Canis lupus familiaris: one gene and its partner. The protein of the gene in region 1 purifies or fractionates together with the protein of each later gene. This does not show direct contact. Links are inferred from orthologs where the notes say so. Each region holds a gene or a part of one and is shown in the gene's direction. Other genes may lie near its edges.

Region 1 (4,126 bases):
CCTTGGAAACCTAAGCCAGTAGCTCAGGAGATAAAAATGTTAGCAGTGAAGGAAGAAAAGCAGTTTTTGCAGCTGACCAGGAGAAATAATAACTAAATTCAAATACACATTTGAATCTCTCTCTCTCTCCCTCTCTCTCTGCACAACAATGCTGAAAATACGGAGATATAGGACATTATTTTAGCTTCCGGATTTCCAGACCAAGGAGAACGCTGACAAATACAAATCTAACGATTATAGAAAACGAAGTAATCGCCTCAGCCCTTTCTTGGAGAGCAGAATGTGCTGCAGAACTGATTCTAAATGCAGTTTAAAATGCATTTTAGCATTAAATGGAGTTTTCTCCACCAGCAAGGTGAATGAAATCACTGCACCGTTTCTCCTGTTTCTCCCTTGCCAGACGACCGTGGAATACTACCCGCTTTGAACTCTGAGAAATGCCTCGGGTCTGTGGGAAATTCCAGTCCCAAATCACTGTACGCGGTTCACAGGGACGGGGGGAGGCACGGAGGCACACGAAGTCTGCCTTCCAGATGCAACATTAACCCTGAGACGCACGTGGAGAAGTGCCGGGCACGCTGGAAGGGCTCAAAAAGCATCAGCTCCTAACTGCACGGAAGTAAACTTCCTTCGCGCCACCTCGCGCCCAACCCCATGCCCGTGGTCTGGCCCACGCTCAGACACAAAGACTCGCTCGCCCGCCGGCGCGCGGAGGGCGGGGCGGGGGCGAGCCGGGGCGCAGCGCGCAGGCGCAGGCCGCCGCACGTGGGCCCCGCTGCAGACCCGGCCCGGGAGCCGCACCGAGGCGCGCGGCCGCCAACGTCGCCAGGCCGACGGGGTCTCCGGCCCCACGCTGCGGGCGGGGCGGGGCGGGGCGGGGCCGGCCGGGAGGGCGGGCCGCGAAGGTCGTCGCCAAGGTCGTGGGCCGGACGTGAGGCGCCGGAGCGACGCTGCGTGCGTGCGGGACTCGGAGTACGTGCCGGAGCCCCAAACCCTCATGCCGGCCGCGCCACCCCGCCCCTTCCCGGGGCCCTGGCGCCACAGGCCGGCTCGGCCAGGGGTCCCAGCCGGGGGCGAGAATGGAGGGCGCCGGGGCAGGGACTCGCCCGCACCCCCACACAGCCGCGGGGGGGGTCGCGACCCCCCCAGTCCCGCCCCGCTCCACGTCCCCGGGTCTTCGCTGCCCCTCCCGGCCGCGGGGGCCGCTACAGTCCCGCCCCTTCCCGGGAAGCGCAGGCCTGAGTGACGGCGCGCTGGGCCAATGACGAGGCGGCGCCGCGGGGGCGGGCTGGGGGGCGGGAAGTGGGCGGGGCATCGGGGAGCTGGGCAGGAAGTCGGGGCCGGCGGCGCTGAGACGAGCTTCGGGTCCTCGGAGCGTCCGGACCGCGCAGCCTAACGCTCGTCCTTGGTGCCTGCGGCATCCTCTGCTTTTTCCCCGGGCAGCGCTATCGGCGGCCAGGTAGGGAATCCAGGAAGGGCTGCCGAGCCGGCACCCAAGCCTGGGGGCCCTGCGCGTGGGTCCGGGGTGGGGACGTGGGAGGGGCGGGTCGGCACGTGCGGGCCGGGCTTCGCCGGAGGGGCAGGAGCGGAGTCGGCTGAGATGAGGGGTTCACAGGGCTAATGGGAGCTCGCGAGTGGAACGCGGGCCGTGGGGGACGGCGGGCCGGACGCTGCAGGGGCTTGGGGAGGTGCGGGCCTAAGCCCGGGGGCTCGTTAGAGCCAGGCCTTTCCCAAAGTGGAGGGAGGGGCAGGGACGGGATGCCCAGAAGCCGCGAGCCCCTCCCCCACCAGCAGCCCCTGCGCCCCGCTGGGGGCCCCGGCCTGCAGGCGGGAGGCGGGAGGCTGGTGACGGAGGGGGCAGCCTCTAATGAATGGAACTTCAGAGGGTGCTTGTTCTTCAGCGGACTGCGGCCGAACCGTTGCGTAATTGGGAAAGCGGTCCAGGCGACCTCGCCCAGGTCATGCAGGAGCTGCTCCGGCTCCCCGGCCGGGCTCTCGGCAGTCGGCCACCGATCTGACGTTAGAAGGACATATTTTAAGAAAATTCCCTGTCTGCTGTGTGAATTGGGGCCGGGGACACCCCTCGGCCCTGACTGCCCAGTCCACACGTGCTGCCCCTGGTCCGGGGTTCAGCCCAGGCAGATGAGCCGTGAACACTCCATCCATTCTTGCTGGCCTTGCTTACTGAACCGTAATGACATCGGGAGTAGTTTTCTAACCTTTTTAAGGATAAGTTGAACTTTTATTTTCACAGCTTGAAATAAGTCGCTGTGTATTAATATTACTAAATTAAACGAAAGGACATCTTACAACAGCAAGAGGATGTATTGTAATAAAGATGTGCTTAAAGCGCATCTAAATGCACAATGTAAGTCTATGGTGGCCTAGGGATGGGGGGGGTGGGGATTGACTGCAAAGGGCCTAAAGGGACTTTTTTAGGTGGTGGCCATCAGACACAGGTATATGATTTGCCAAAACTCAAAGTTACTAAAATCTTATAATTAAAAAATACATTTAAGCAAATTTGCCTTTTTGTAGGATAGTGAATAAAAACTAGATACCTTTTTTTTACCTTTTTATTGGCTAACGAATGAAACTTCATTGTTAAATAGTCCCCATGCACCCGAAGTGATTTCACTGTCTAATTTTGAAACTTATTAAAAAAAAAAAAGATGCCATTTGCTGCCTCAGAACATTCCAGACAAGATACTGGAGAGGAGCCCAGCTAGATAATGGCTCTGAACACTAACCCAATTCCACTGGGCTGCCTTCAGTCAGTCCTACAAGGTCCTTTCTTTCTTGGAAGCCCCTGGGGCTGGGAGGTGAAAAGGCTTTCTTTGAGAACTAAGGTGATTGCTCTTTGTAACTGCAAATCTGTTTTTTTTTTTTTTTTTTTTTTTTTTATAAGATGCTTTTAAGGAAAGCCTCCTCCCTTGGAGTATCCTAACATTTGAGGATAGAATCTAGTTTGATTTCAATTATGACATTTCATAATTAATTTTTTTGAATGGGTAAAATGCCTGTTGAAAGTAATACTAATTAGATGTTATTTTTGGTGTGTCCTGTCTTGCTAAAGATCCAAGTACTGTGAAATGTGAAAGGCCCAGAAGTTGGCAGTAATAGCAAAGACCACATTGTACAGACCAAGGACACTCCTGGCCTCAAAATTTCTTTAAGTATCCCAGTATCCACCGACTGAACATCTTACGGCTACCTCAAGTTTAACTTGGTGAATTATGTCCCCAACTATGAATTCATTATTTCGCTACAAGCCAGATTTCTCTCCTTGTATCACCTTGCATTTTTTTTGTCCTGGATGGGTTAGCTTCTGACCTTCGAGTCTCCTTGGTCCATTCCCATGCTACCCTCGGTGGGAGCTATTGACAGTAACCTGCTTCAGACTGTCTCAGCTTCAACCATCCTGTGTGCAGACAACACATTTCCAGGCTTTGCTTTGCTTAAAGGACCAGCACCAGACTACTGGGGTTTGAGGCCCTACAGAGCTGGGCACAGCAGGCTTTCCCCACTCTTGGCAGCCACCTTGCATCCCGTATCTGTCCAGCGCAAATTCTTTCTAGTCCAGGAATCCTCAGAAGCGATTCTTTGAATGAATGACCCAAGGCTGCATTATGGTTTATGGGAAGTATGAACTGTGTTTCCCCCACAGAAAGTCACCATGTCTATTCTCAAGATCCACGCCAGGGAGATCTTTGACTCTCGCGGGAACCCCACTGTTGAGGTTGACCTCTACACCTCCAAAGGTAGGTGCACCTTTGTTTCAGGACTTCCTCTCCCACACTCCCATCTTTTTAAAATTTAAACAACAGAGTCTTGGGCAAGAAAAGGTCTGTTGTAAAAGCCTTTCCTTCTGATGTGCACGTGTGCTAGGCTGTGGTTCCTGAATGGGAGGAGGTGGGGGAGGGTTACAAGGCATGGGGTCCTTGTCTTGCTGCTTCTTGGTATCTAAAACAACTTGCTCCCAGGTCAGTGAGAGTTGGGTAAAGTAAGATCATACCTCGTCCCTAAAAGGGCCCGTCACTGGTTTGCTTCACAGCTTGCTCTGCCTGAGCAAGCATATCTGGTGTGGTTGGATGGAGCTTTCTTCCTTGGAAAGGAAAGATGAGAA
Region 2 (4,398 bases), on another chromosome or scaffold:
TAAAGGCCTGCCCTGAGCCCTTACCACGGAGGACAGGGGACAGACCATCTGGCATGAGGGACAGGGGCTGATGGGTGGACGATGGACTTCAGCCCCCCCCCACCTGCTCTGTACCCTGTTTCTTTTTGTCCTCAGCAGCAGGGAAGAAGCTAGAGGCCATAGGAGAATGGCCAAGCAAAGCGGGGGACACTTGAGAGACTTTGGGGATAGAGCAGGAGGGGGATGGGAGGGGCCGGCCACCTGTCTGTGAGGAGACTTCCTTGTCCCCCCCACCCCACTCCTTGAACCCACAGTGCTCTGCTTCTCTGTGTAACCCTGCCGGCCCCTGGTTTGGAGGGGGGCTCGTTTGTGTGTGTGCGTGCGCGTGGGTGCAGCTTCATGCAGCCTCTTCCACAGGAGGGGGCATCTGTGCCTCCCCTCCCTCTTAGTGTTTGCTCCCTGTGTGGCCAGGCAGGGAGGGCTGCGAAGGAAATGGGAGTCCCCCTTGCCCTCCGGCCTGTCTTTCCCCCACCCAGTCTCTTCCCTGCCCCTTCTCTGGAAAAATGCCAAAATACACGATGTGAATAAAAGTATAATGGCTAAGTCGTGTCCTTTTTGATACCTTGGGGGAGACTGACCTTGCCTGGGGCTGGAAAGATAGCCCGTTGGGCCCCTTGCCTCTTTGCCCCCCTCCTTTGGCTGTTCTCTACTTTTCAGTAGTTCTAGAGCTCTTGGGAAGCGGAGTGTGAGATGAGGAGGGGTGAACATGGGGGCAGTAGAGGAACGCTGAGGGGTAGGGGCTGTCCAATCAGAGCCAGTGGAGGGGGGTGACACCGAGCAAACGTGGGGGGTGAAGAGCTCTACCTGCCTTCCAGCGGCCACACTGGACAGGTCCCAAGTGGCTATTTCCCAGATGTCTCGGGTCCCCTAGGCCCTGCAGTCTCCAGTGGGGCGGGCCAGCTGGAGCAGAGGGGGGACCCCCGGAGTTGGGGACGGAGGGGGTCTGAACTGCCTCTCTCTCCGCTGCAGTTTCGAGGCAGTGTGGACCGTCCCTCCCGCTCTGAACCCTGCCACTGGCCCAGTAACTGGGACGACACTCCGCACCCCGCCCCACAGGTCAGAGGTGCCTGCTCAGCGATCAGGGATGCAGCTATTCCGGCGGGGGAAGGGAGGTCCTTTCCTCGGAGTTGGAGACCTGCCCCGCGGAGCGCCCTCAGCCCGCGCCAGCAGCGTAACCTCCGGCCAAGGCGCCCCTGGGGAAACCCTCCGGCCCTCGGGGGTGCTGGAATCGTGAGGTGGGGCGCCCCCGAGTGCCGGGTCCCGCCTCCTCCCCCAAGCCAGGCGGTGGCTCCGCGGCGCCCGAGCCCCCGGCCGCCCTGGAACGCCGCCACAATGGGGGGCGTCGCTTCCGAACCCCGCGGCGGCGGCGGCGGCGGCGGCGGCGGCGGCGGCGGCGGGCGGGCCTCCCGGCGGGCGGGGGCGGCCGAGCCGTGGCCGGGGGCGGGGAGGAGGCGGAGTTCCGGCTCGCGGCGCTCTACATAAGCGGGCAGTGGCAGCGGCTGCGCGGTGCTCCTGACCTTCAGTGTGTCGCTCCCAGCGCCATGGCGCCCTCCAGGAAGTTCTTCGTCGGGGGGAACTGGAAGATGAACGGGCGCAAGAAGAACCTGGGGGAGCTCATCACCACCCTGAACGCGGCCAAGGTGCCGGCCGACACCGGTGAGCCTCGCCGGCCGCGGGGGGAGGCCGGGCGGGGCGGCGGCCGCTGTCCGCGTGCCCTGGGTGCGGGGCCGCGCCCGAGGGCCGTCGGGGTCGGGACTTCGGCGCCGCACCGAGCCGTGCCGTCCGACCGCGGGGCGGGAGAGCATTTCTCGGGTCGCCGTGGGGGAGACGGCCCGGGGTGCGGACTCGGGACGGGGGTCGGAGCCGAGCCCCTGCGGGCGACGGCGGGCTGCTGGCGGCCGCCCGGGGTGCGGGGGAGGAGGCCGAGCCTCGGTGCGGGGACCCAGCTGCCTGCCCCCTGGGCCGTGCGCCCCGTGCGCCGCCGCACGTAGCCCGCGCCTCCTCCCCGCGCCGCCTCCCCGCGCCGCCTCCTCGCGCCTCCTCCCGCGCCGCCTCCTCGCGGGGCGGGCCGAATCCCCGGCGGCCGGGCGGCGGTGGCCTGCGCTCCCCGCGCCATCCTTTCCCCTCGCCGGCGCGATGACGCCCGCCTTGCGACCAAGGGGCTCAGCAGGTGCCAGACGAGAGGCGCTTTGGGGGAATGAGGAGCGATCCCACAGCGTTGTGCAGGCTGGAAACGGGAAAGCGCAAGGCCTCCACGAGCCAGTCAACTTCGTGCCACCCGCGGGCCCAGAGTGCTGTCCTCAGCCCTCACCCTCCCACTCATCTAACTCACAGAAACCCGGGCTTGATCAAAAGAGGCCCTGGTTTATGCTCCCCAGACCCCAGTACAAACCCCAGGAGTGTCTGCTCCTTCTGCTTTTGCTAAAAATCCTTGCCTGGGGGTGGTAGGGATGGACAATTTTAGAAGGGAGGCATGGTTGGCTTCAAGAGAATGCTGAGTCTAGGAGGTGCCCAGGCCCAGAATAGCCCTGAGAAATCAGAACCACAGCTGTTAAAGAGCAGAGGGCAGGGCCAGGGCCATGGCCTCCCAGGGACACCTGGAAGGCTCAAGGAGTTGGGTACAGGCCCAGCCTGAGCTGCTAAGTGGACAGAGATGATCTTGCTGGAGTGAGAAGGGATAGGGAGAACTAAGAAATCAGGTGAAGGCAAGAGGACTCCAGAACACTGGATGGAGTCTGAAGAAGGGCTTCCTTGTGACCTCATCCTCTTGTGCCATCATTTCTCCAGAAGTGGTTTGTGCACCTCCCACTGCCTACATCGACTTCGCTCGGCAGAAGCTAGATGCCAAGATTGCTGTGGCTGCACAGAACTGCTACAAAGTGACTAACGGGGCCTTTACTGGGGAGATCAGGTGAGATGCAGGCAGGAGAGGGGCGGGTGGGGACCGTGCCCTCACTTTCCTTGTTGAGGGAGAGGCTACAGGGTGGGCTTTCTCCTGAAGCATGGTTTTATCTCTTCCAATAGCCCTGGCATGATCAAAGACTGCGGAGCCACATGGGTAGTCCTGGGGCACTCGGAAAGAAGGCATGTCTTTGGGGAGTCGGATGAGGTGAGTAACCAGAATGGGAGGTAAGAGACCCCTTATTCCAAGAGGGGTGTCTCACCAGATCTGCTACTCAACAGCTGATTGGACAGAAAGTGGCCCACGCCCTGGCAGAGGGACTCGGAGTAATTGCCTGCATTGGGGAGAAGCTAGATGAGAGGGAAGCTGGCATCACTGAGAAGGTTGTTTTCGAGCAAACCAAGGTCATCGCAGGTAACTCTGGAGAAGGGGACCTTTGAGCCTGGCTAGGGCTAGAGGCACAGAGGGTAGGGTGAGATGCTCTGCGGCCTGACTTGATTCCATGCTGACACTGGAAAGGAAGGGGGAGGGTGAGAACCTTTGCATCCTCCATATCGGGTCTGTTCCTGCCCAGATGGTTTAGATGCCACTTGGAGTTCCTCCAACAGCCACCAGGGGGCATTAGGCCACCATCTTTCTTCATTCCCTGGGCTACAGGCTGGCCAGCTCCTTCCCATTAACCCTTCCATCTGTGATCTCTGTCTCACAGATAACGTGAAGGACTGGAGCAAGGTTGTCCTGGCCTATGAGCCTGTATGGGCCATTGGGACTGGCAAGACTGCAACACCCCAACAGGTAACTGAGACCAAGAGCTCTGCTCCATCTTACCTGCCTCGGTAGGACTAGAGTGCAACAGAGATCATCTGAACCAACTGCTCATTTTAAAGACAGGAGTCCCCAGGCCCTGAGGAGAGTGACTTGTCCAAGGACATCCATTCCAGGGTCTGGATGGGATTGGAGCTGTGGTATTCTGGCTCAGATCTGTGGGTCCTTGCCCCACACTACCTTTCTTCATTGGGGCCCAGGGTCTTTTAGCCTTTGAGTGAAAAGCAGAAAAGGGCTTACTTGGTCTGGCTTCTTGTTCTAGGCCCAGGAAGTACATGAAAAGCTCCGGGGATGGCTCAAGTCCAACGTCTCTGATGCAGTGGCTCAGAGCACCCGTATCATTTACGGAGGTAAACAGGTTTGGCTCCCGCCTGAGATGGGGGTGAACTCAGCCTCCTGTCCTTTCCCTGACCATTCCCTCTGTCTTCTCCCTTCCCAGGTTCTGTGACTGGAGCAACCTGCAAAGAGCTGGCAAGCCAGCCTGATGTGGATGGCTTCCTCGTGGGTGGGGCTTCCCTCAAGCCTGAGTTTGTGGATATCATCAACGCCAAACAATAAGCCCATCCATCTCCCCTATTCCTGCTAAGCCAGGGACTAGGTAGCTCAGAAGCTCAGTAACTGTGCTCCTACCC

The links.
Region 2: the proteins of ENO1 (region 1) and TPI1 fractionate together in Homo sapiens (co-fractionation; 4 studies listed by BioGRID, with this or other methods). This does not show direct contact. The link is inferred for Canis lupus familiaris from reciprocal best matches to the Homo sapiens genes ENO1 and TPI1.

What each region holds. Positions count from the first base shown.
Region 1 is NC_049226.1:62,805,257-62,809,382, reverse strand, and holds the start of ENO1 (alpha-enolase), read left to right. Parts: upstream 1-1,300; 5' UTR 1,301-1,459; intron 1,460-3,667; 5' UTR 3,668-3,676; coding exon 3,677-3,761; intron 3,762-4,126. UniProt on the Homo sapiens protein: Glycolytic enzyme the catalyzes the conversion of 2-phosphoglycerate to phosphoenolpyruvate. In addition to glycolysis, involved in various processes such as growth control, hypoxia tolerance and allergic responses.
Region 2 is NC_049248.1:7,936,049-7,940,446, forward strand, and holds the start of TPI1 (triosephosphate isomerase), read left to right. Parts: upstream 1-1,531; 5' UTR 1,532-1,580; coding exon 1,581-1,695; intron 1,696-2,826; coding exon 2,827-2,950; intron 2,951-3,063; coding exon 3,064-3,148; intron 3,149-3,222; coding exon 3,223-3,355; intron 3,356-3,650; coding exon 3,651-3,736; intron 3,737-4,028; coding exon 4,029-4,116; intron 4,117-4,205; coding exon 4,206-4,324; 3' UTR 4,325-4,398. Other genes in the region: USP5 (ubiquitin carboxyl-terminal hydrolase 5), read left to right, coding at 1-3. UniProt on the Homo sapiens protein: Triosephosphate isomerase is an extremely efficient metabolic enzyme that catalyzes the interconversion between dihydroxyacetone phosphate (DHAP) and D-glyceraldehyde-3-phosphate (G3P) in glycolysis and gluconeogenesis.